Cricetulus griseus: one gene and its partner. The protein of the gene in region 1 purifies or fractionates together with the protein of each later gene. This does not show direct contact. Links are inferred from orthologs where the notes say so. Each region holds a gene or a part of one and is shown on either strand. Other genes may lie near its edges.

Region 1 (11,277 bases):
AGCAGCTCAGCAACCTGGCCTTGTTGTGCCAGAACCAGGGCAAAGCTGAGGAGGTGGAATACTACTACCGGAGGGCCCTGGAGATCTATGCCACACGCCTTGGGCCTGATGACCCCAATGTGGCGAAGACCAAGAACAACCTGGTGCTCTGAGGCTGGGCTGGGGGCTAGAAAAGGAGGAGGCAGGGAGAGAGGGCTGATATCCAGGAGGAAGGAAAAGGAAAACTAAGCTTCCTGCATGCTGCTTACCCACTGTCTTTACTTTCCAGGCTTCCTGCTACCTGAAACAGGGCAAGTACCAGGATGCAGAGACCCTGTACAAGGAGATCCTTACCCGTGCTCATGAGAAGGAGTTTGGCTCTGTCAATGGTGAGTCCATGGCTTCCATGTGCCTCCAGTTCATTCAGCAGAAGCACCCAGGACAGTACTTGGCCTTACAGACCTTCCTGCCCAGACTCTGGCAGGAAGCCCAGCCTCACCTGTGGGTGGTGCCTGCAGGAGCCCACTCACTTAATTCATTGCCCTGGCCAGACAAATTGGCAAACCCCATGCTGAGTCTCCTCCTTTCTCTTTCCCCTGCTTTTGTTTTTTGTTTGTTTTTGTTTGTTTATTTTGTTTTGAGACAGAGTCTCAATATATAGCTCTGGCTGTACTGAAACTCAACTATGTAGATCAGGCTGGCTTTGAACTCATGGAGGTTCACTGCCTCTGCCTCTCAAGTGCTGGGATTAAAAGTGTGTGCCACTATGTACATTCTCCACCTTTCTCCACATGACAATTCCTGTTCACTTTGAGGCCCAAGTGTCTTTCCTTCTCAGAAGTAGCCTCTGGCCCCATATTACTAGCCATTTCCTGATGCCCATCCCTCAGCCTGGCCCCTCATTCAAGTGTATCACCAGTCTCTGGTTTAAGGTGTACAAGGGCCTGCCATATCACTCCTAACCCCACCTCATTTATCGCCATTTGACACAGACCTGCGGCCTGTTCATCTGGGTACAGAGGAGGGTCAGTAATGTTTTGGGTTTGGGTTTGCTGCTTGTTCATCTATTCAACAAAACCCAATCCTGGTCCTTTCTACATACTCCTGTCCCCTTCCCCAGACATTAGTCCCTTGTCTAGCTAGCCCAATTGGAAAGACCTATGTGGCAGGCAGGTGACAGTCCCCTGTTCTTCCTAGGAGAGAACAAGCCCATCTGGATGCATGCAGAGGAACGAGAGGAGAGCAAAGTGAGTAGCGCTGTGAGCAGAGCTTCCAAGTGTGCAGAGGGTGTGAGGCTGGGATGTATGGAGCTCCCTAACTGACTGGTCTTTCCCCCAGGATAAGCGCCGGGACAACGCCCCCTATGGGGAATATGGCAGCTGGTACAAAGCCTGTAAAGTTGACAGGTGAGGGCTGATAGGTCTGGGTTAGGGGTAAAGTGAGGACCAAGGAAGTAGTGTCCTTGGTCAGTGAGACCCAGGCCTCACACTATCCTTCGTCTCTGAGACACCTCTCTTCTGTTAGCTCATCTCTCATGGCCTGAACCCAAGAAGACTTTCTGCACTGGGAAAGCTTGGTTCACTCATTCCAGGGTCTCCCAGCTTCTGGTCCTGGTGGCAATGTCCTAGGAGAACTCTAGGGCCAAGCCAGGTTTCTAGCACTAGAATGGTTCTCTCAAGATGGTTCTACCACAGGGGCAGATGAATAGGAAAGGCCAGATTCTGGAGGCCTTTTTGGTCCCCAGAGCCCCATGTGGGCTGCTTGCTGGGTAGAGTTTGAGACTTCCTGCTATCTGTCCACAGTCCCACAGTCAACACTACTCTGCGAAGCTTGGGAGCCTTGTACCGGCGCCAGGGCAAGCTGGAAGCTGCACACACACTGGAAGATTGTGCCAGTCGAAGCCGCAAGCAGGTGGGGCTCCAAGGTGGAGGATGGTGAATTGGGATCTTTGAGGCTCCCTGTGCTGCAGTCAGGGCCTGATGCTTCCTGCCCCCTTTCAGGGCCTGGATCCTGCCAGCCAGACCAAGGTGGTAGAGCTACTAAAAGATGGTAGTGGTGGACGAGGAGACCGCCGTGGCAGCCGAGATGTGTCTGGGGGTGCTGGGCCTCGGTCTGAGTCTGACCTGGAGGAGTCAGGGCCTGCCGCTGAGTGGAGTGGGGTGAGTGTGGGACTAAGATAGGTTCTAAGACTACGAAGAAAGCAGGGCCTAGAGACAATTCTTCCCCCACAGGATGGCAGTGGCTCTCTGCGGCGCAGTGGGTCCTTCGGGAAGCTCAGGGATGCCCTGAGACGTAGCAGTGAGATGCTGGTGAGGAAGCTGCAGGGGGGTGGCCCACAGGAGCCCCCTAATTCTAGGTGAGTTTCTGTCCCTGATTGTATCCTGTTGGCTCCCACGTGACATCACTCCCTCTCAGGAAACACTACCACCACGTCTGCTTTATTCTGCCCCCAAGACTCAACCTGGTGTCCCTTCACTGTTTCACCATGAACAAATCCTGGTCCTCCTTTTCCCTCAGGATGAAGAGGGCTAGCTCTCTCAACTTCCTTAACAAGAGTGTGGAAGAGCCAGTTCAGGTAAGAGTGGAGGGCATCTGGCCTTAGGCAGTCTAGACCCAGGCCCCCACCCCATAGTTCTGGCCCCTTGGTCTATGTATGTCCCCACCCAACTTTTATCTGGTGAGTCTTCATCCAGCAACAGCCCAATTTAGGCTGGGAGGATATAGGTAGAAACAACTAGGGGCAGGCAGGTAAAGGGGAACATAGCCCTTGTCCTGGGGCAGATATATATAGTCAGCCAGTACCAGCTTGAACTCTCAGGCCCTAGGTGTGAGCTAAACTTCAACTCGCTGTATTTACACCAGGACTTGGTCAATCCTTTTCATCATCCCACACTCGTCTGTGTCTCCCTTCCTCTCCCTTCTCTTCACTCCCAGTTACCATGTCTAAGCTACATGCCCTCTCTACTCTGCCCACAGCCTGGAGGCACGGGCCTCTCCGACAGCCGCACTCTGAGCTCCAGCTCCATGGACCTCTCCCGAAGAAACTCCCTCGTGGGCTAAAGCTGAAGGGGCAGCCTGTCTCTAGCCTTCATCTGACACGACCCCTTACCCCAGCCCTGCGCATGGGCCTGCTGCTTGTCCTGCCTGCCCCTCCCAAGGACCCCTGTCTTTTCTGTTCAATCTCAGGGTAACCTCCCTTGTCATCTCAGCCAGGGCCCTGGAGGCCGGGCCTGCCCACCCCAACTCTACTCCTTATTTATTCCTTCCAGCAGGGGGCCTCTCTTCCCTACATTCAGGGCCTGTGGGAGTGGTGGCCTGCCTACCCATCCTCCAAAGCCAAGAACACTTAAGTACTTGCTGTCCTTTAGCATCTTTGACTCCCCCAGCCCTCGGCCGTTGCTTCTGTATATAGAGAAATAAGTTATTGGCCATGTCATCCTCTCAGCCCTCCTCCCTTCAGTCCACGGTATTCCCGGGCCACCACCTGCCTCTCCCTTCTCCAGTGGTACCGCCCAGGCCTTAAATCACCCCTGTTCCGAGTGGTGGTATCTCCCAAGCTCCAAGTTCTAGGAGCAGAACCTCCTGAAAGGGTTCCCGATCTCCTTGCCATCCTGGTTTTGGAGGGATGTGCTCTACCCAACCTTGCAGATGCCCGGACTCCCACAACACCGGGCCCTGTGTTGCCTCCCGGACTTATGCACCGTCCTTTGCTCCCTGCCTCCGCCCCGCCCAGGCATGGCCTGACCCCACCCTGGGCACGGCCCATTGAGCCATCCTGCCACGCCTTCCTTGCCTCAGCTTCCAATGTCCCCTCCACGTACCCCCGCAGTAGGAGGGGCTACCCCATTTGATGGGTGAGGCAATCGCGCTCTCTATTTTCAGATGTTGCTGTAGAAATAAAGACGATTTGAATCTGAGCCAGGCTTGTTTTGAGAAGGCTCAGAACCCCTGAGCATCCCCTAGGGTGGGGTGGAATCTGGTGGAGTGAGGGACACACACATCATGCCCTGTCCCTTGAGACTGGACGTGACATTCTGCCCTTATCCTGAATTGTACGAGGAAATGCTACAGATTTGGGGGTTCTCCTAAAGCATGCCCTTACGGGGTTATAGATAGTTCCGTCTTTGAGTTCTACCCCACAATATGTTCTTGGACTGAATGAGTGTCTCGAGATGATTTTTCATGCATGTGATATTAGTGATGACAGTCCCATCCCACGAAGAACGCTTATAATTCAAGTTTTTCTGGTCCTAAATACGTCGTGCCATCTCGTTCAATGTTTTCAATCTGCAAACCAAGAGGGTGGCTGCCCATCTCAGTTGAACAAAACCATACCTACCCCGGTATGGTTCTAACCTGCGGATTGTCCAAGATACCGCCGCAGGTCGTTCAGGGATTGAGAAGACTACAGACCCCAGAAGGCAGTTCGCGGGTTGCGACTGGAGCGCACGGCCGTGTTGGTTGACTGGGTTGCGCCTGCGCAGCAGTGGCAAATCGAGTATCTAGGAGACTACAGGTTCCACAAGGCAGCGCGGGGCAACTGGAGTCGGAAGTGTTTGCGCCTGCGCGGCGCGGGCGGGGTCTCTAGGGCAGCGCGGCCACCATCTTGGAACGGGAGGCGGAGCAGAGCCGACTGGGAGCGACCGAGCGGGCCACCGCTGCCGCCATGAACCCCGAATAGTGAGTGAGCCCCGCCCGCGCTGTGTGGCGCAGCCTCGATCATGTCTATGGGGCTGTATGCTTATCGAAGTTGTCTGGCCCTGGTCAGAACTGCGCGGCGGACCCCACATCCGGGTCCCTCTTCCGCTGACCCCCCCCCTACATCCGGGTCCTGCCCCTCCCCCCGGGAACCCCTGGACCCCGGCTCAACACCCCGAGTTCTCTCAGTCAAGGCCCGGAGGCGACAGCCTCGAAGGGCAGCACTTGGAGCCCGCAGCGCCGGCCCTCCCAGGCCTTTTCGGTTGTGACCCTGCAGATTGGTCTCCCTGAGCCTCAGTTTCCCCACCGCTGCTTGACCACGGGCAGGCGGTTTGGAGTCCATCGTAATAATTTCTGGTCCCCAGAGTCGAGTACTTTCAGATTGGCCGTGAACCACTCTGCCTTTAACTTTCTTCTGAGGCCGGTTTTCCGGGCTGGCCCAGACAGAAGCTGACCAGACAAGGGGAGCCCAAGCCCCTGCTTGATTCACATCCCTGCAGGTCCTAACCTCTGGGGCTGACATTTGCCCTGCCTGGGTCGCACTATCCTGTGGCTCCCGTGTCCGTCCTTTTCTGCCCTCTCACCTTTGCTCAGGCCTCCAGTGCCACTGTCACGCGGCTTCCCTCACCTGTCACACTGCCAGAGAACTTTAGGTGTGGGATTTGCTAGCTCGCTTGGAGTGGGATTTTTATTCCTCAAACTCAAACCCTTGGAGTAGATGGCCCACATACAGTTTTGCACCCGTGTTGTCTTCTTCCCCTTCCCCGCTTCCTTTTTCTTCCCCAGCTCTAGGCCTCAGATTTCCTTGAGAGAGGGTGAAGCTCATCAGGGTTAGGAGGGGAACAGAGAAGGGAGGCTCAGGCTGTCACAGAGTCTGACAGACCTAGTCTCCAGTCTCACAGTTAGCCACTGCTTAGGGTAAGTCATTTATTTCCCTTCTCTGACCTGTGGTTTCCTCACTTGGTTGCACTGTTGTGAGGTTTTAATGAGACGATGTATTTAAAGGACTTCACACAGGACCAGTTACAGTTCAGGAAGTATTAACTGCTGCCTCCATGGTCACTTGTTGACTGCCTCTTATTAGTGACTTCATCTCAGGCTCTTTCACACTTGTTTTGACTTCATGTGTTCCAGCATTCATTTTAGGGTCCTAGGCTGGCACACTATAAGGCCTAGTGTGGGTTTCCTAAATAATTCCTACAAAACAGCACCAGAGTCTCAGCTCTGGCACCCAGCTGGTTGTTCCTTGGTAAATTGTGTTCCTTTATTTTGCCACAAAGTGAGAATTCAGACATAGCAAGCTGAAGGTGTTGTGGGCTAGCTTATTGGGGATAGTAAGGGTCTATTTTTTGTCCCTTTTCAGGACAGTGGGAGGATCTAGTGAGCACCATGACATACTAAGCAGAAGCATGCTTCCCTGTACTGTCATGCTCACTGCAGGGGCAGGGGTGGCAGAGGGAACTTCTTGCCTGCCTTCATACCTTCCCATCTTCTCTTGCCAGTGACTACCTGTTCAAGCTGCTTTTGATTGGTGACTCGGGTGTGGGCAAGTCGTGCCTGCTCCTGCGGTTTGCTGTGAGTAAGAAGCACCCCCATGATATCCACCTGGGGTCCTAGCTGGCCACTGGGAGGAAAGAGGGACAACTCAGAACACAGTAGTTGCAAGAAAGACCTGAGAACCAAGAATGAGGTTGCCGGAGCTGCCAGAAGAAGGGCCCAGGCCTCGAAAGTTGGGGTGCTTAGAACTAAGACTTGGCAGTGAGGAGCACAACAGGGGTAGGGAGCTGGAGGGAGGACTTTCAAATAGTTTTTGGGCCTGTCTGTTCAGGCTATTTGACTGGCCCCAACCTTTCAGGATGACACATACACAGAGAGCTACATCAGCACTATCGGGGTGGACTTCAAGATTCGAACCATTGAACTGGATGGCAAAACCATCAAACTTCAGATTGTGAGTATGGCTTTTCTACAGCACTGAGAGAGAAGTGAGGGTTCCCTTGTGGCTGACCTACCCTTTTCCTCCTGTCTCATAGTGGGACACAGCTGGTCAGGAACGGTTCCGGACCATCACTTCCAGCTACTACCGGGGGGCTCATGGCATCATCGTGGTGTACGACGTCACTGACCAGGTACTCCTGGACTTACCTCCCAGACTTGCTTCCTGAGCCTTGACTTTTTTGTTTTGTTTTGTTTCTCAAGACAGGGTTTCTCTTTAGCTTTGGAGGCTGTCCTGGAACTCACTCTGTAGACCAGACTGGCCTTGAACTCACAGAGACCTTCCTATCTCTGCCTCCCGAGTGCTGGGATTGAAGGCGTGTGCCACCACCGCCTAGCCTGAGCCTTGACTTTTGACTCTTACTCCTTTTCCTGTTTTCATTTCCCTTAAGCTTTCTGGAAGGTAGACACCATGCTGAATTGCTTCATAAAAAGGGCTACAAGCCACAGAATCGGATCCTACCAAGACCCTGTCATGAAGTCTTTATGGAACCAGACTTCATGGCTCCTGCTACCTTATTATAGACCTTCCAGACTACCCGTCTTTGGTGGCAGTTAGTCAGTTGGTTGGTTACTGCTGGTTCCTTGCTTCCTAAAGTCTGCAGACAGAGCAATTGGAAGGCTCTAAACAAGAAAGTGAGAAGCCCAGCGTAAACAGAAGTTCTGGAATACTGTGTCTCCTGTGGTGGGGTCAGCAGCCAGAAATTGTCCTTACAGTGTCTCACAATTTATAAAAACTGTGGTCTTTAGCTTTCCTTGGTTGCTTACCCCACAAAATGGCTCTATTGCCAACCTGACCCAAATTCCTGGGTTTAAGTGACCCTCCTCCTAAGCCTCCCTGGTAGATGGAGCTACTGGGTACTCACCCCTGTGCCTAGCTTTTGACGCTCATGAGAAGCCCCTCATATTTACACCTTAAAGATGAAGACTTGGTTCAGGCTGGGGCCGTGACTTGCTAAGTTAGTTAGTGGCAGAGGCCAAAAGCCTAGTCTCCTGATCCATCTGCTTTGCTTTTTCTGCCAATCAGTACTGGGCTGGGAGAGTTCCTGCTTTGGGGGGCAGTGGCCACGTAACAGATACTCCTGATCCCCGTGCCTTCATCTCCCAGCCCTTCTAACAAGCTAGGTGAGCCAAGTGCCACTCAGATCACCAAGGCTTTAATTAACTGTTAGATCCAGTCATCTTCTTGCCAAGATTGACTCCTTTGACTTTGTACTGTTTTCTTCTCTTTCCTCAAAAATATTATCTGTATTAGCCCTTGTCCCCCAATAAGCAGACACTCTGCCAGTGAGCTACAACCCCAATCCCTTTGGTCTCTTTTTTATTGGCTCACCCTTGCTACCCATTAACCCCACATTTTCTGCATCCTAACTAACTCCAGCCACTTCTGTGGTTTGGCTTTTGTCTTGTGTTCTGGGACTCTTGATGTATGTTTTGAAATTCTTATGTCCAGACAGATGTCACATGGGTTCCATCTCTTGTGTGCTTGCACTGGCCCCTGGTGTCTGTAATGGGAATAATCTTCATGCTCTTACCCGGTGAACTAAATGGTGAGGCCTCTGTGCCCTAGTTTGCTTTCTGTTGCCACAGTAAACACCAGGTGGGAGGAAAGGGCTTGGCTCATCGGGTAATAGTCCATCATCTGATGAAACCAAGGCATGAATTCAAGCAGGAGCCAGGGGGAAAGGTGCCTACTGTTTTGTTCCCCATGGGTTGCTCAGCTTGCTTTCTTAGACCACCTAAGGCCACCTGCCAAAGGGTGACACTGCACAGTGAGCTGGGTCATCAACCATCAATCAAGAAAATCCCTATAGACATGCTCACATGACAGTCTGATGGAGGAAGTTCCTCAGTTTAGATGCCCTTTCCAGATGCTTAGGTAGGTTTGTGTCAAGTTGAACAATGCTAACTAAGCCAGGCGGTGGTAGCACATGCCTTTAATCCAACACTTGGGAGGCAGAAGCAGGCAGATTTCTGTGAGTTCAAGGCCAGCCTGGTCTACAGAGCGAATTCCAGGACAGCCAGTCTACACAGAGTAAACCCTGTCTTGAAAAACAAAAAATGTAACTAGTATACCTTGTTTCCTACATGAAGAACTTCTTTTCCAGAGGTGTTAGTAACTTGCCTCTGATGTCCCAGTAAAGAAAGACAAAGCCCTTTCTCTGCCTTCAACTGCCTCTATGAGCTCCATACCAGCTGCAGGATTCAGATTCTAGTGCAAGCTTCTCCATCTCCCCTGCCCGCCTTCTGCATCCTCATTTTGTAATATAATTCTTGTGTGACCAGAAAACTTCCCTTCTCCATAGTTAGTCTCAAGACACCTCTATTCTCTCCCCATCATTTCAGATCTGTCCCTTCATAATAATAGCAGTAATGAGGATAATAGCAGCTCTTGCTAATTGAGCACTTGTTATGAGACAGGCCTGGTGCATTCATTCCTCGTACAAACAGCAGCTCTGCTGGGAGGTATTATCTGAACAAAAGAGGAAACTGAGACCCAGGTCAGGTGACTAGATATCTGAAGTCACATAGATGATCAAGTTTGGACGATAGCCTACCGTCTAAACCTATTCTCTTCTAGATTATTCTAGCTACTTCTCCGTTGCTCTGCATTTTGTTAGTGTGATCTAATCCTGCCCAGACCCTATTTCCAGAACACAGATAGACTCCAGTTACTCTTGAGCTGAGAAAACCCTCACTGTCTCATGGGCATGCCAAGTTTATACAGGCTAAGACCTTTTCAGCTCTGTCCTGCCTACCCCTTACCATTTCCTCCCAACCTGCAACCTGGTGTTTTCCCACTTCCCACTCCCCAAAGACACCACACCCTCCCATCCTAGCAGATGCTGTCTCCTCAGCTGGTAGCTTTTGCATTAGTTGAGTCCATGCCTGCAAGCTGGAGTCAGCCACTGGCTGGTGACTACTCTGTTCTGGTTCTAGTTCTTGGGTTGCCACATGGAAGAGAACCAGGGGGGAAACTAAGCCTGAAGTGGGGGAGACTTGAGTTGTATCCCCATGCTCAGGGCTCCTACCTTTCCCTCAAAGGAGCCCTGTTCTCCAGGCCTGGCTAGACTGGGTTTGGGAGTTCAGTAACTTTGGACACTGTGCCTAGGAGTCCTACGCTAATGTGAAACAGTGGCTACAAGAGATAGATCGCTACGCCAGTGAGAACGTCAATAAACTCCTGGTAGGCAACAAGAGTGATCTCACCACCAAGAAGGTCGTGGACAACACCACAGCCAAGGTGAGCAGGGCCAGCCCTGGCTGTCAGGGGGCCAGGGCTCACTTCCCTTCACCCCTTCTCTCCCTTGCCCTTATCTCTTTTTTTCCCCTTGGCAGGAATTTGCAGACTCTCTGGGTGTCCCCTTCCTGGAGACGAGTGCCAAGAACGCCACCAACGTTGAGCAGGCATTCATGACAATGGCTGCAGAGATCAAAAAGCGGATGGGGCCAGGAGCAGCTTCTGGGGGTGAACGGCCCAACCTGAAGATCGACAGCACCCCTGTGAAGCCAGCTAGTGGTGGCTGTTGCTAGGAAGGGCACTTGGGGAAGGGACACCTTCTCCAGATGATGCCCCTGGAGGGGCAGGAAGTGCCTCCCTCTCCTAGGGCATTTGAGTCTGTGGCTTTGGGGTGTCCTGGGCTCCCCATCTTCCTCTGGCCCATCTGCCTTCTGCTCTGAGTGCTGTCCTGTCAGGGCCCCCTTGGAGGACATGCAGAACCTGTGGCAGGGGTGGTCACAGGAACTGCTCTGCTGCTGCCTCTAGGTACCTTGAAAAGATGCCCACCATGCACCTTTCTTTGGAATGAGGGCTCAGCTGTCTGTCACTCACCCCCATGTATGCTGCACTGGGCTTCTCCCTCCCTCCTTTCCTTCCTTCCTTCCTTCCTTCCTTCCTACCTTCCTTCCTTCCTTCCTTCCTTCCTTCCTTCCTTCCTTCCTTCCTTCCTTCCTTCCCAGTAGCTGAGGGCCTCCCTGCCTCTGCTTCCCTGGCTGCAGGCAGTGGCCAGGGGATCCAGGGTCTCAGATCCAGGGTCCTGCTTCGGACCTCAGGACAGGCAAGGGGGCTGCAAAAAGCCAACAGCCCACTTTTTCCTCACCCCTGCCTCCCTCCACCGCTCCCACACTCAGCTTGAGCCGTCCAGCTACTGTTGGGTCTTGAGCACAACTAGGGTAGGTGGGCGGATGGCTGTGCTGGGCCTGTGTCTCAAGCCCAGAGGGAGCCTGCTCCTGCCTCCCCCTGCCCTGCCAGAGCCAGGCCTATGTGCTGCCTGCCCACCAAGCCCCTTTGTCCCTGAGAAAGGCGGAGGTGGAAGGCCCACCGTGCCAATGGCCGGGCACCAGCCTTAACCCTTACTCTGCCAGCACCACTTTCTTCCCCTGAGGCAGCACATCTGGCTTCTAATCCCTCCGTTCCTCAGAGCCTGAGGGGGCCAGACCTACTTCTCTGGGGAATGTAGGGGCCACTTGGGGTTGTGGGACTCTCTCCCCTTCCCCACTCAGAATCCCGCCCCACCCCCACCCACCCCCCCACCCTCTGGCACAGCTTCCTGCAGAAAACCTTTGGTGATTACCTGAGAAGCCATGTCCTTTGTGCTGTGGTCT
Region 2 (10,707 bases), about 170 Mb from region 1:
AGAAAGAGAAAAAAAAAAATTACAAAAGACAGATAGATGAACAGAGCCTCATCAACACAGGGAATGGTGTAATGCCAAAGACCTAATACACAAGAGATTGGTGCTCCAAGAGAGAAGGAAAATGTGCTCAAATAGCTGGATAAATAATAACCTAAAATTCTGCATTTGGTTCTTTTGAAAGTAATCTAAATATTCAAACAGCAAGACTGTCAGAAACTGAAGAAAATCTTGAAAGCTAGATCATTGACAGAGAAAAACTCAAAATACCAGAAGAAAGAACTCAGGGACAGCCACTTTGTCATTCAAGCCAAAACCAGTCATGGGGAAAGCTATTTCCAATGTGCTAAATGAAAACAGGCTACAACCAACAAAGTCTTTCAAAAAGAAGGTAAAATATTTTCAGATAAACAAAGGTGAGCCTGAGGATGTAGCACAATTGTTCAGGGCTTACCTATGTGCTACCACACCCAGTACCAAAATTCAACTTTATGTAATTCAGCATATTAACAGCATACACAGACAAGCTACACCACAACTCAATGACAACCCACTCACAACAAAAAACTGCATAAACTATGATGAGAATTTAATCTCACAAAACAATTAACAGAAAATACTTAATATTTCTTTCTAAGACTGGAACAAGACAAGAATGTTTGTTCTTGCCAATTTAACATTCTTCTAGTCCTAGCCAGAACAATAAAAGCAAGGGTGGAAGAGAACATAATGCATATATATTTTAAGGGAAAAAAAACCTAGTCTCTCTGTACTCACAGCCGGCATACTATGTACATGGAAAATTATGTTAAGTCCATCAGAATAACTGAACTAGTAAAACGAGCATAGCAAAGTTAATACAGAAAACTTAATTGGGCATTATATACATTAGCACTGAACAACTTCAAAATAAAGAATTAACAACGGTATCAAAATAAAATACTTCTAAATAAATCTGAACAAAGTTATCTGAAAAGCATACTAGAGACAAACCTAAACACAGGCGTGGATCAGAAGACTTAGTACAATGGGAATTTGTCACAAATTGATGTACAGACAATCCAGTTCCAATAAAAAACCTAGCCAGTTTTCCTAGAAACTGACAGCCTGAGTCTAAAAAGTAGCAAAGAACTTACAATAACCAAAATAAATTTTGAAGATATACGGTGGGAAGAGTTACATCACTTGACTTCTAAGACCTATCTACAAAATTATAAAAAGCAGGACAAATGTGGTAAAGCCATAGGAAAAAAACAAATTAAATCTGAACAAAAGCAGCCTCCAAACTAGACCTAAGCATTACTACAAGACCACTGGGAAATGAAACAGACACAGAGACACAGAGACACACTGTAAATGCAGATGGGACAAGTAAATACCACAGATTAGGGGGCAGAGGCTCAAACCATACCTCACTTAGGCATCAACATTCTTTCAAGGTAAATTATAGCAGTTACATAAAAAAGCAAAACTATAAGCTTCTCTGGCCCTTAGGCTAAGCAAAGATTTCATAGTACTCAAGATGCATTGTAAAATAAGTTTGATATACTGGACTTTATCAAAATACAAAACTTTTTTTAAAAAGATTTATTATGCATAAAATGTTCTGCCTGCATGTATGCCTGCAGGCCAGAAGGGGGCGCCAGATTTCATTACAGATGGTTGTGAGCTACCATGTAGTTGCTGGAAATTGAACTCAGGATCTCTGGAAGACCAGATAGTTGAGTGCTCTCATCTCTCCAGCCTCCCTCCCCTCCCCCTTTTTTTCTTTTTTTCTTTTGAGACAGAGTTTCTCTGTATAAATAGTCCTGGCTGTGTTGGAACTCATTTTGTAGAGCAGGCCAGCCTTGAATTCACTGAGATCCGACTGCCTCCCAGTTGCGGGGATTAAAGGTGTTCAAAACCACCTTTAAAAGATGGAATTATAATATTGTGGCATATCCTACCTACTTGGGCATTAAAACATAGGTTCAATCAAGGCCATCCTGGTCTACAGAGTGAGTTCCAGGACAGGATATCCAAAGCTACAGAAAAACCGCCCCCCAAAATAAATAAATAGATAGATAGATAGATAGATAGATAGATAGATAGATAGATAGATAGATAGATAGATAGATAAATAAACACACACACACATGTATGTATGTATGTATGTATGTATGTATGTTCAATCAAGGCCAGCCTGGTCTATAGAGCGAGTTCCAGCACAGCCAATGCTACACAGAGAAACCCTGTCTCGAAACACCAAAATAGTAATAATAAAGATAATGATTTTAATATAAAAAACATAAAACAAATAAATAGCATCTCACTATTCAGAGACACTTTTCACTTACAGTAGGCAGGATGAAGTCTAAGATCAGCAGGGTTACAGCTAACGGGTTAAACAGGCACTCACCTTGCAAATCCTTGTGGCAATTCTCCAAGGCCATAGAGGGGATAAAGGTATGGGCTTTTACCATATCTTGCCAAAGATTCGCTGTAAAGTTTAATTCTATTAATGGTATCACAACACGGCTGATCTAAGTAGCTGGGAAGAATTAAAACAACATTAGAAAAAGACTACTTCTTGTTTATTTTAAACTCTTTTTCTGAAGCGATTTCAAACTACTACCCTCTCATTTCTCTTAAAAGGCCCTAACACTAATATGCTACTAGAATCTCTTTCACCGGGCCACACAACAACCTACAAACCCTATGTCTACCATTTGGAAAATGAGAGAGAGATTCAGTTCAATGTTTTTAAAAAAACTGTAAATCTGAAAACCAAAAGTTTCTGATTGGAACCCTCTCTCTCTACTGTTGATACTCTCTTCAAATAAGCTGACTAGAAATTGAAGTGTTTGGAACTGTCTATGATATGGATTAGGGAACTGCAAAGTTGCCTAAATCCAACTTCAGTACAACAGACCTGTCACTGCTGGCAAACATCTCACAGCCTGTGCAGAGCCACCAATGGATTCATTAGTCTACTTACTCATCTGTTCTGTACAGTGCAAGAGAATGGCCAGTGAAGTCTACAACATCTTGGCCCAAATCAAACTTCTTATACAAATCTCTCATGGAGGTCTTCTTAGGGTCAATGCCCTCAAAAGTTCTAGGATCTTTTTCATCAAAGTTGGCGACATAAACTAGGAACTTCCTGAAGCGGCGTTTTTCAAACAGTCCCATTAAACCTGAAAAAATATTTTTTCAAAAAGCACATACTCACAATAGGACACTGACACTTTAAACATCAATTTCATGACTCAACAAATATAATTAATATAACAGGGGATCTAGATAACATGGTTCCCAGGGGCACAACACTTTAAAACACATCACCCATAAAGTCTTCAATTTTACCCCAAAACTTCAGGTACAGAGTACATATTTAGAGAAGCTGAAAGTTTGAAAACATTGTTCCAAAGGCATCTATACTGTTATTTTTCCTCTAACAATGCACATCTGTAACTCAGCCAGTTCCCAAAATTATGAATGCTGCTCCTTTCCCCTCTTTCGGCTGTAAGACACACTCTTAGACCTAATGGGAAAAGACACTGAAGACACCATGAAGAATTAACAGCAACTACCTTTAGAAGCTGACCGCCCTGTGGGTCACTTACTTTAATGAAACTTAAACAATCGGTGAGCTGCTCTACACACTTTTAAAAAAACAGCTATAAGCAGGGCTGGAGAGATGGCTCATCAGTTAGGAGAGCTTGCTGCTCTTGCAGAGGACCTGAGTTAGGGTCCCAGCACCCATATCAGGCAAATAATCACACACAATAAAAATAAAATATCTTTAAAAGAAACACACTGAGCTGGGTGGTGGTGGCACACACCTTTAATCCCGGCACCAGGGAGGTAGAGGCAGGTGGATTTCATTGAGTTTGAGGCAAGTCTGGTCTGCAAAGTGAGTTCCAGGACAGCCAGAGCTGTTACACAGAGAAACCCTGTCTTGAACACCAAAAAAAAAAAAAAAAAAAAAAGGGGGGGGGAATACATGGGACATTACCTTGTCTAAAAATATTAAATTAATATTTAAAAAAAAGCTGAGAGAGAGAGAGAGAGAGAGAGAGAGAGAGAGAGAGAGAGAGAATTAAATCCCAAGCTCTCTTGAGTCAGTACTCCTACTAATAGCATATAGCTGGTACTAAGAAAAAGCTAAGAAAACTTCTAGTTTCACATCCTTTCCCCTCCTCTCCTAAACAGAACAGAACATTAAGAAGGGCCTAAATGAGTGTCTGGCACTATAACTATCTGTTGACTAGACAAATAGGTTTCTGGGACTCCTTTTCACCATAAAAATCGTGTCATTCTGATAAATGAGAATTACTTACTAGATGCCAGTGCTTCTGCTTCAGTGGAAGGAACCTTGTAGATTTTCCCTCCCTTGTAGACAAAGCTCCCTTCAATCACTTTGAAATCCATATAGCGAGTGACCTCTGTGTAAAGTAACATCTTCACCAACTGACCTGAAAAAGTCATGTAATGCAAGCTGTCACTCAAACCTTACTACCAATAAAACTTAGCACCCAAAATTTTCCTAAAGAATTGTATAGCAATCCTTACCAAGAAGCCCCCAAAGCTGTGTTTTCAATGGTATGACTAGAAATTCACACCTTAAGCATACGTTTAAGCTTAATGTTACAACTTGTAGGCTAACAAAGGCCATGAAATATGTACTGGTGAGTGAATTGAGGCAACCTTGCAGTTCTGTATCAGTCACAGACAATTCCAAATATTTCAATTTCTAAGTCTACTTATATTTATTAAGAGTATATCAACATCAAATAGATTAAGGACTACAATTAGGAATCCCATCTGCCTATAAGACCAAGGAGGCTCACTTACCCAAATCAGCCAAAAGTTTTGTGAGACCAAAACCATTTTAAAGATGATTTGAAAGGATAACTACAACAGGGTAGTCACATCATTTTTGAAGTTAGGGCTGGGGGACATAACTTAGTGTAAAAACATTTATCTAGCATGTGTGAGACCCTGTATTCAAACTCCAGAACAACAACAAAAAAAATTAAGGAAATAAAGTATAAAGAGATTCTCATGCAGCAGAGATTAAAGTACACTGAAAAATTACATCAACTGGCCCCATTATTAAGCCTTGTGACCTTAAAAGACCAACGAATGTTTTATAAAGAAAAACACATGCAATAGAATTGTGCAGCAAAGTCCCTGTCTACAAAGGCTGCCCCTGTGTCTTCAGAGAGGTGATATCTATAAGGAGTTCATTGCAAGGAGAACACAACTTAATAGAAAATAAGTCAATTCACCAATAAACAGGAAAGCTGGTCAATAACTAAAACTCATTCCACCCTCTAATGGACAGATTTATGGTAAAAATTCAAATTTTACCTTACAATGGCAAATGGCAGAAACAAAAATGAATACTATCAAGGGCTGGTTGATAACGGTACTGGGAAAGGCAAAAGCCAAATGTGGTAATAAACAGAAAAAGCCTTCTGAAAAAGATCCATAATTCTTGCCGGGCGCACGCCTTTAATCCCAGCACTCGGGAGGCAGAGGCAGGCGGATCTCTGTGAGTCCGAGGCCAGCCTGATCTACAGAGCGAGTGCCAGGATAGGCTCCAAAGCTACACAGAGAAACTCTGTCTCAAAAAACAAAAACAAACAAACAAACAAAAATCCATAATTCTCTCCTAAGGGTACCCAATGCTATCTGTCATCAGTCACACACACTCCTTTCCTCCCTCTTACACCCCCTACACATACATTATACACTGGCTGAAAACTGCATGGGAACTGGGACTATGCATATGTGTATCTCAAACATCAAAATGTTAAGCACAATTAAATCTAAGGTTTTATCCCTAGCACTGCAAAGAAAAAAAAAAAATCCAGATAGTGGGATTCTGACTATGCAAATTTTGTTTCCTTCCTGCTTACTGTTAATGTTGCCTAGACTATACAAACTTGGATAATTTACAAGAATTCAATTATTTAAATTTAAAAGAACATTCAAACAATGTATCTATAATACAAACTATAAAATGTAACTCAAAAAAAGAAAAAGAATAACACATACTATATTTCATGGGAAATAAATTTGTAACAAAAAATTTAGTTTTTCCTTTGTTTTCTATTTTTCCAGACAGAGCCTCACACTGTGAGACATGGATGACTTAAAGTTTACTTGTAGCACAGGAAAGTCTCACATTATCAGCAATCTTCCTGCCTCAGCTTTCTGAGTACTGGGATTACAGGTGTAAACCACTGCACCTGGCTCATTTTTTAATACCATCTTAGAAAAAAATAGACACCACAGAAATTTTAAGATAGTTCAGTCCTCTAAAATCCTGAGAAATTAGGTGATCTCAACAGCTTACACACTAGAAAGCCTTTAAAAGACCATTTAAGACTCAGGCTCCCAAAGTCTCTCGAAGGTACTTACAATGTTATTATATTTAGAATTTTTGTTTGTACTACACCACACCAGATTTGCAACAAATGTTTCTAACTGTGTGAAATGTCTATAGTTTCTTACATACATATATAATATATACTACAAAATCTTCAATTTTAACATGCACTGTGTCACATCATGCTTTTGTTTCTTTTCAGAGCTATTTTCTATACCTCCTTCCCTCCATTCTTAATTAGACTCCAGACACTTTTAATGAAACATATTACTAAACATACTATTGACATCAACCAATTCCCCAGGGCCTCAGACCTGGGATAATGTTCTCTACTTCCAACCCAGATTCCATACAGTCATAAATAATGCTAGCATTCTTTACCATTGGCCATAAGGAACTTGGGAATTAAGTCAACATTCCAGTCTCTTCCTCTCCCCATTGATGCTGGTGGTTGTCCTGGTAACTTAAATCTTTTGTATAACTAAAAGTAGAAAAAAAAATACCTATAATGTAACGAGAGGCTGAGGTATAATACAACTATAAGAGGTAAAACACAAATCATTTTATTTTTAATCAGATAAAACTTTTATCTGTCAAGTAAACTTTTAGTCAGATAAGACTTTCAAGTCTCAATATATTATGTAATTAAATACAGTATGTAACTCGTGAATGCTAAGATACACAAGCATTGCAGAAGTCTTTCCCACTAATTGTTGAATCTCATTCCCCCTAATTTTGCTTCTCTAGCTACACAAGTTAAAAAAAAATTATATACTTCAAATCTAGAAAAGATAGTTAAAACTAGTTCTTTCTAGCTTTTAGTTTTTAGGCTTTACTGAAATACAACTGATGATTAAAAATTGCACACACAATGTAAACACTTTGATAAGTGTGAACATAAGTTTACACCAAAGAATACTAAGCACACATTCACCTCCAACGAGTGCCTCCCAGCATGATACAGTATGAAATAATCAACAATTTCTTTCAAACTAGTAGCCTGTACTTCTCCAAAGGGAAAGGGAGAAGGGGAAAGGTAGTGAGACTTGTAGATTAAGAGAACAGAGAAGAAACACATACAACGCTCAAATCTTTAGTTAATTAAAAACTGATTTTAAAAACCAAAGTGTACTGAAGACCTAAATATCACTCTCTGAGTTACTGGAAATCTGAATATAATTTAAATATCGTTCATTTTCATAAATGTAGTGGCATTATGATGGCATAGAAAATGCCATCCTTAACAGATGGAAGCCGAAGTATTTAGGTCAAGTGCCACAATGTCTTTTTTACTTTCCACTTTTCAAAGCCATAAAAAAGCAAGATCTAGTGGTACATACCTATAATCCAGCACCCTGGAAGCTGAAGATTTATTAAGTAGAATATTTAATAAGCCAAAACTGCCAGGCATGGTGTTTCATACCCTTAATCCCAGTGCTCAAAAGTGTAGGGAGCTCTGTGAGCTTGAAGCCAGCCTGGTGTATATAGTGAGCTCCAGGATAGCCAGGGCTAGGTAGAGAAAGAGAGGCCCTGTCTCATCCCCCCCACCCCCCAACTAGCAATAATAATGAGCCAAAATTTAGACCATCTCCAAAAACTAAAGTGGAGATTCACAAGTAATTCCTACACATAAAAGATGCACTGACCACAGAGACTTACATCTTCCAGTGGTGTTATAGATGCGCTTTCTCCTCCATAGTACGGGTTCTGATCCATGTGAAGAACCTTCTTTCCATTCACTGACATTATCCCTGACAGGATACACTCCTAAGGTTAAAAGAAGAAAAGCCACACACATAACATGCTAAAATGGTTCTTTATTAAAAAGTAAGCTCTCTGGGCATTGGTGGCACACACCTTTAATCCCAGCACTCTGGAGGCAGAGGCAGAGGCAGGCGGATCTCTGTGAGTTTGAGGCCAGCCTGGTCTCCACAGCGAGTGCCAGGATAGGCTCCAAAGCTACACAGAGAAACCCTGTCTTGAAAAACCAAAAAAAAAAAAAAAGTAAACTCACTAGCAGTCTCATAGTAATTAAAACACTTGCTCACCATAACAAAACCAGCAGGCTTAAAGCCTCTCTTGGGTTCCTGTGAGTTCCCAGGTGAAAATTGGTTTCACAATAAGGGCTTGTACCAGTCACTGTTGTTTACTGGGCTGTCATTTATAGTAATGCCATATCACAGGTGGACAGACAAAGGCAGAGGCTTTCAACTACAGCCTGCCACTCTACTGTTTCCTACCAGGCATTCACTAAGGTCGTCCAAGAGGCACTGAGATTTAACTTAATAAAGGCACATCTGAAATACCCACCTTTTCATACACTGCTCGTGACAAAACTGAAGTGCCATACAGCACTTCCAGCTCAAGGAAAATCTTTAGTGCCACTTATTTACAGGCTGTATGTAGACACTTTGTTCTATGAGTCACCATTTTTATTTGAGAGAACTACGATTATTCAGCTTTGGTAAACATTTTTTTCAAAAATGAACATCTTAGAAGTTGATACACAGTGGGTATGGAAAAGGAGGAAGTCCTGAGACGGTAAGTGTATATTGTTGACATGGCCATGCTCCTATAAAATGGCAGACTTCCTCTCAGACAGAGGCAGGGAAATGGCAAAGCCTTCCCTCCTTGTCCAAGTGTAAATGTTTGGCAGTGTATACAGAAAAAATGTCTGCCATAGCTTTCAGCACCACCACCCACTGCTTCCCAACAGATCCTGCCAAGCTTTCCTAACCCTGTCTCCTTAGGCTGGCAATATAATGTAAATGCAGCATCGTTGTTTGTCTGAATGTAAAAAACAAGCCTCCCTGTTCAGCTGCATGCAATAAACCCATCTCTGTTCAACTCTATGTAATACACACCACCGAGCTTCCAGAAAGCTGAGGCTTTTTCAGCAGAAAGCCCAGTCCACCTCTGTCTGTGTGTTTGTCTTTTCTTCATTCCTTTGCCACCCAACTCAGATCCATCCCTTCATCCCTACAAGGATGCAGCAGTTGGGGGCTGGAGAGATAGTGCAAAGATTAAAAACACTAGCTGTTTTTCCAGAGGATCGGGGTTTGATCCCCAACACCCACAAGACAGTTCACAATCACCTGTCCTTTAGTTCCAAGGGATATGACAGCATTTTTCTAGCCTCCAATGGGTATTAGCAAGGACATGGTACACAAACATACATAGAAGCAAAAGACCATAAACATAATAATAATAATAATAACAATAATAATAAAGACAAACTGTCATTTGTTACCAATAAAGTACAATTTATGAATACCAAAATAATCTTGGAACACTCATCTACCATCATGGGGTCCAATACTTAACAGGACTTTTTAGAGTGTTACTAGAAACAGCTGATTCTTTCTCATTCTTTTATCTTAAGATTGTGTCTTGCTGTTATGTAGCATACCAGGCTGGCCAAGAACTAGTAAACTAGAGATCCTCTTACCTTCCCACCCAGGAGTGCTGGCATGTTCCAACACACCATACAAGACAGACTAGACTTTTCATATCATCAAATGAAATACCCAACACTCCGAAGATCTGTATTGTTCACAATAAGCTCAGAGTTCCTAAGTGACTGGAGAGAGAGAGAGAGAGACAGAGAGACAGAGAGAGAGAGACAGAGACAGAGACAGAGAGAGAGAGAGAGAGACTGTGTGTGTGTGTGTGTGTGTGTGTGTGCGCGCGCGCGCGCGCGTGCACTACACATGACTGTTTTAGGAGTGTACTGGAATATATCAAGCACCTATGTGTGTATGGAAATCAGAGATTATATTGGGTGTCTTCCTCAGTTGCTATCTACCTTAATTTTTTGAGAAAAGTCTTATAATGATTCGGCTGTACAGCCTGGAAGTAAGCCTCAGGATCCACCTGATTATAGCCCTCCCTATCACCCCCACATTCAGCTTTTTCCGTGGGTATTGGGAATTGAACTCGGTTCCCACGGAGTCATCTCTGCAATAGTTAAAGTATGAGGTCACCAATGTAAAATGCTCACTTAGCATGCATGATATACTGGGTTCAATCCCTACTATCATTAAAAAGGAGAGGGGAGAAGGAATTTTTTAAAATCCCAGAAGGGATAGAGAGATGGCTCAGCAGTTAAGAACAATTGATGCTCTCCCAGAAGTCTGGTTCCTAGCACCCATGTGGCACAACTGTCTCTAGCTCCAATTCTAAACAACACCCTCTTCCTACTTCATGATGAACTCCCATGGCATATACTCACATAGGCAGACACATAAATAAAAACTTTAAGGAAAAAAAAATCCCAAGACCAGACCTAAAGAGGGCATGTAAGATAATCCTCAATAAAAATTACAAATGAT

Evidence for each region.
Region 2: the proteins of Rab1b (region 1) and Gdi2 purify together in Homo sapiens (affinity purification with mass spectrometry; 3 studies listed by BioGRID and IntAct, counting the BioPlex papers as one, with this or other methods). This does not show direct contact. The link is inferred for Cricetulus griseus from reciprocal best matches to the Homo sapiens genes RAB1B and GDI2.

Annotation. Positions count from the first base shown.
Region 1 is NC_048596.1:54,178,680-54,189,956, forward strand, and holds the start of Rab1b (ras-related protein Rab-1B), read left to right. Parts: upstream 1-4,507; 5' UTR 4,508-4,645; coding exon 4,646-4,659; intron 4,660-6,179; coding exon 6,180-6,252; intron 6,253-6,532; coding exon 6,533-6,628; intron 6,629-6,710; coding exon 6,711-6,806; intron 6,807-9,784; coding exon 9,785-9,916; intron 9,917-10,011; coding exon 10,012-10,206; 3' UTR 10,207-11,277. Other genes in the region: Klc2 (kinesin light chain 2), read left to right, coding at 1-143, 269-368, 1,177-1,226, 1,318-1,385, 1,782-1,890, 1,980-2,138, 2,211-2,335, 2,497-2,554 and 1 more. UniProt on the Homo sapiens protein: The small GTPases Rab are key regulators of intracellular membrane trafficking, from the formation of transport vesicles to their fusion with membranes.
Region 2 is NC_048596.1:228,625,707-228,636,413, reverse strand, and holds part of Gdi2 (rab GDP dissociation inhibitor beta), read right to left. Parts: intron 8,144-10,707; coding exon 8,036-8,143; intron 6,858-8,035; coding exon 6,758-6,857; intron 4,455-6,757; coding exon 4,320-4,454; intron 3,174-4,319; coding exon 2,975-3,173; intron 2,528-2,974; coding exon 2,396-2,527; intron 1-2,395. UniProt on the Homo sapiens protein: GDP-dissociation inhibitor preventing the GDP to GTP exchange of most Rab proteins. By keeping these small GTPases in their inactive GDP-bound form regulates intracellular membrane trafficking.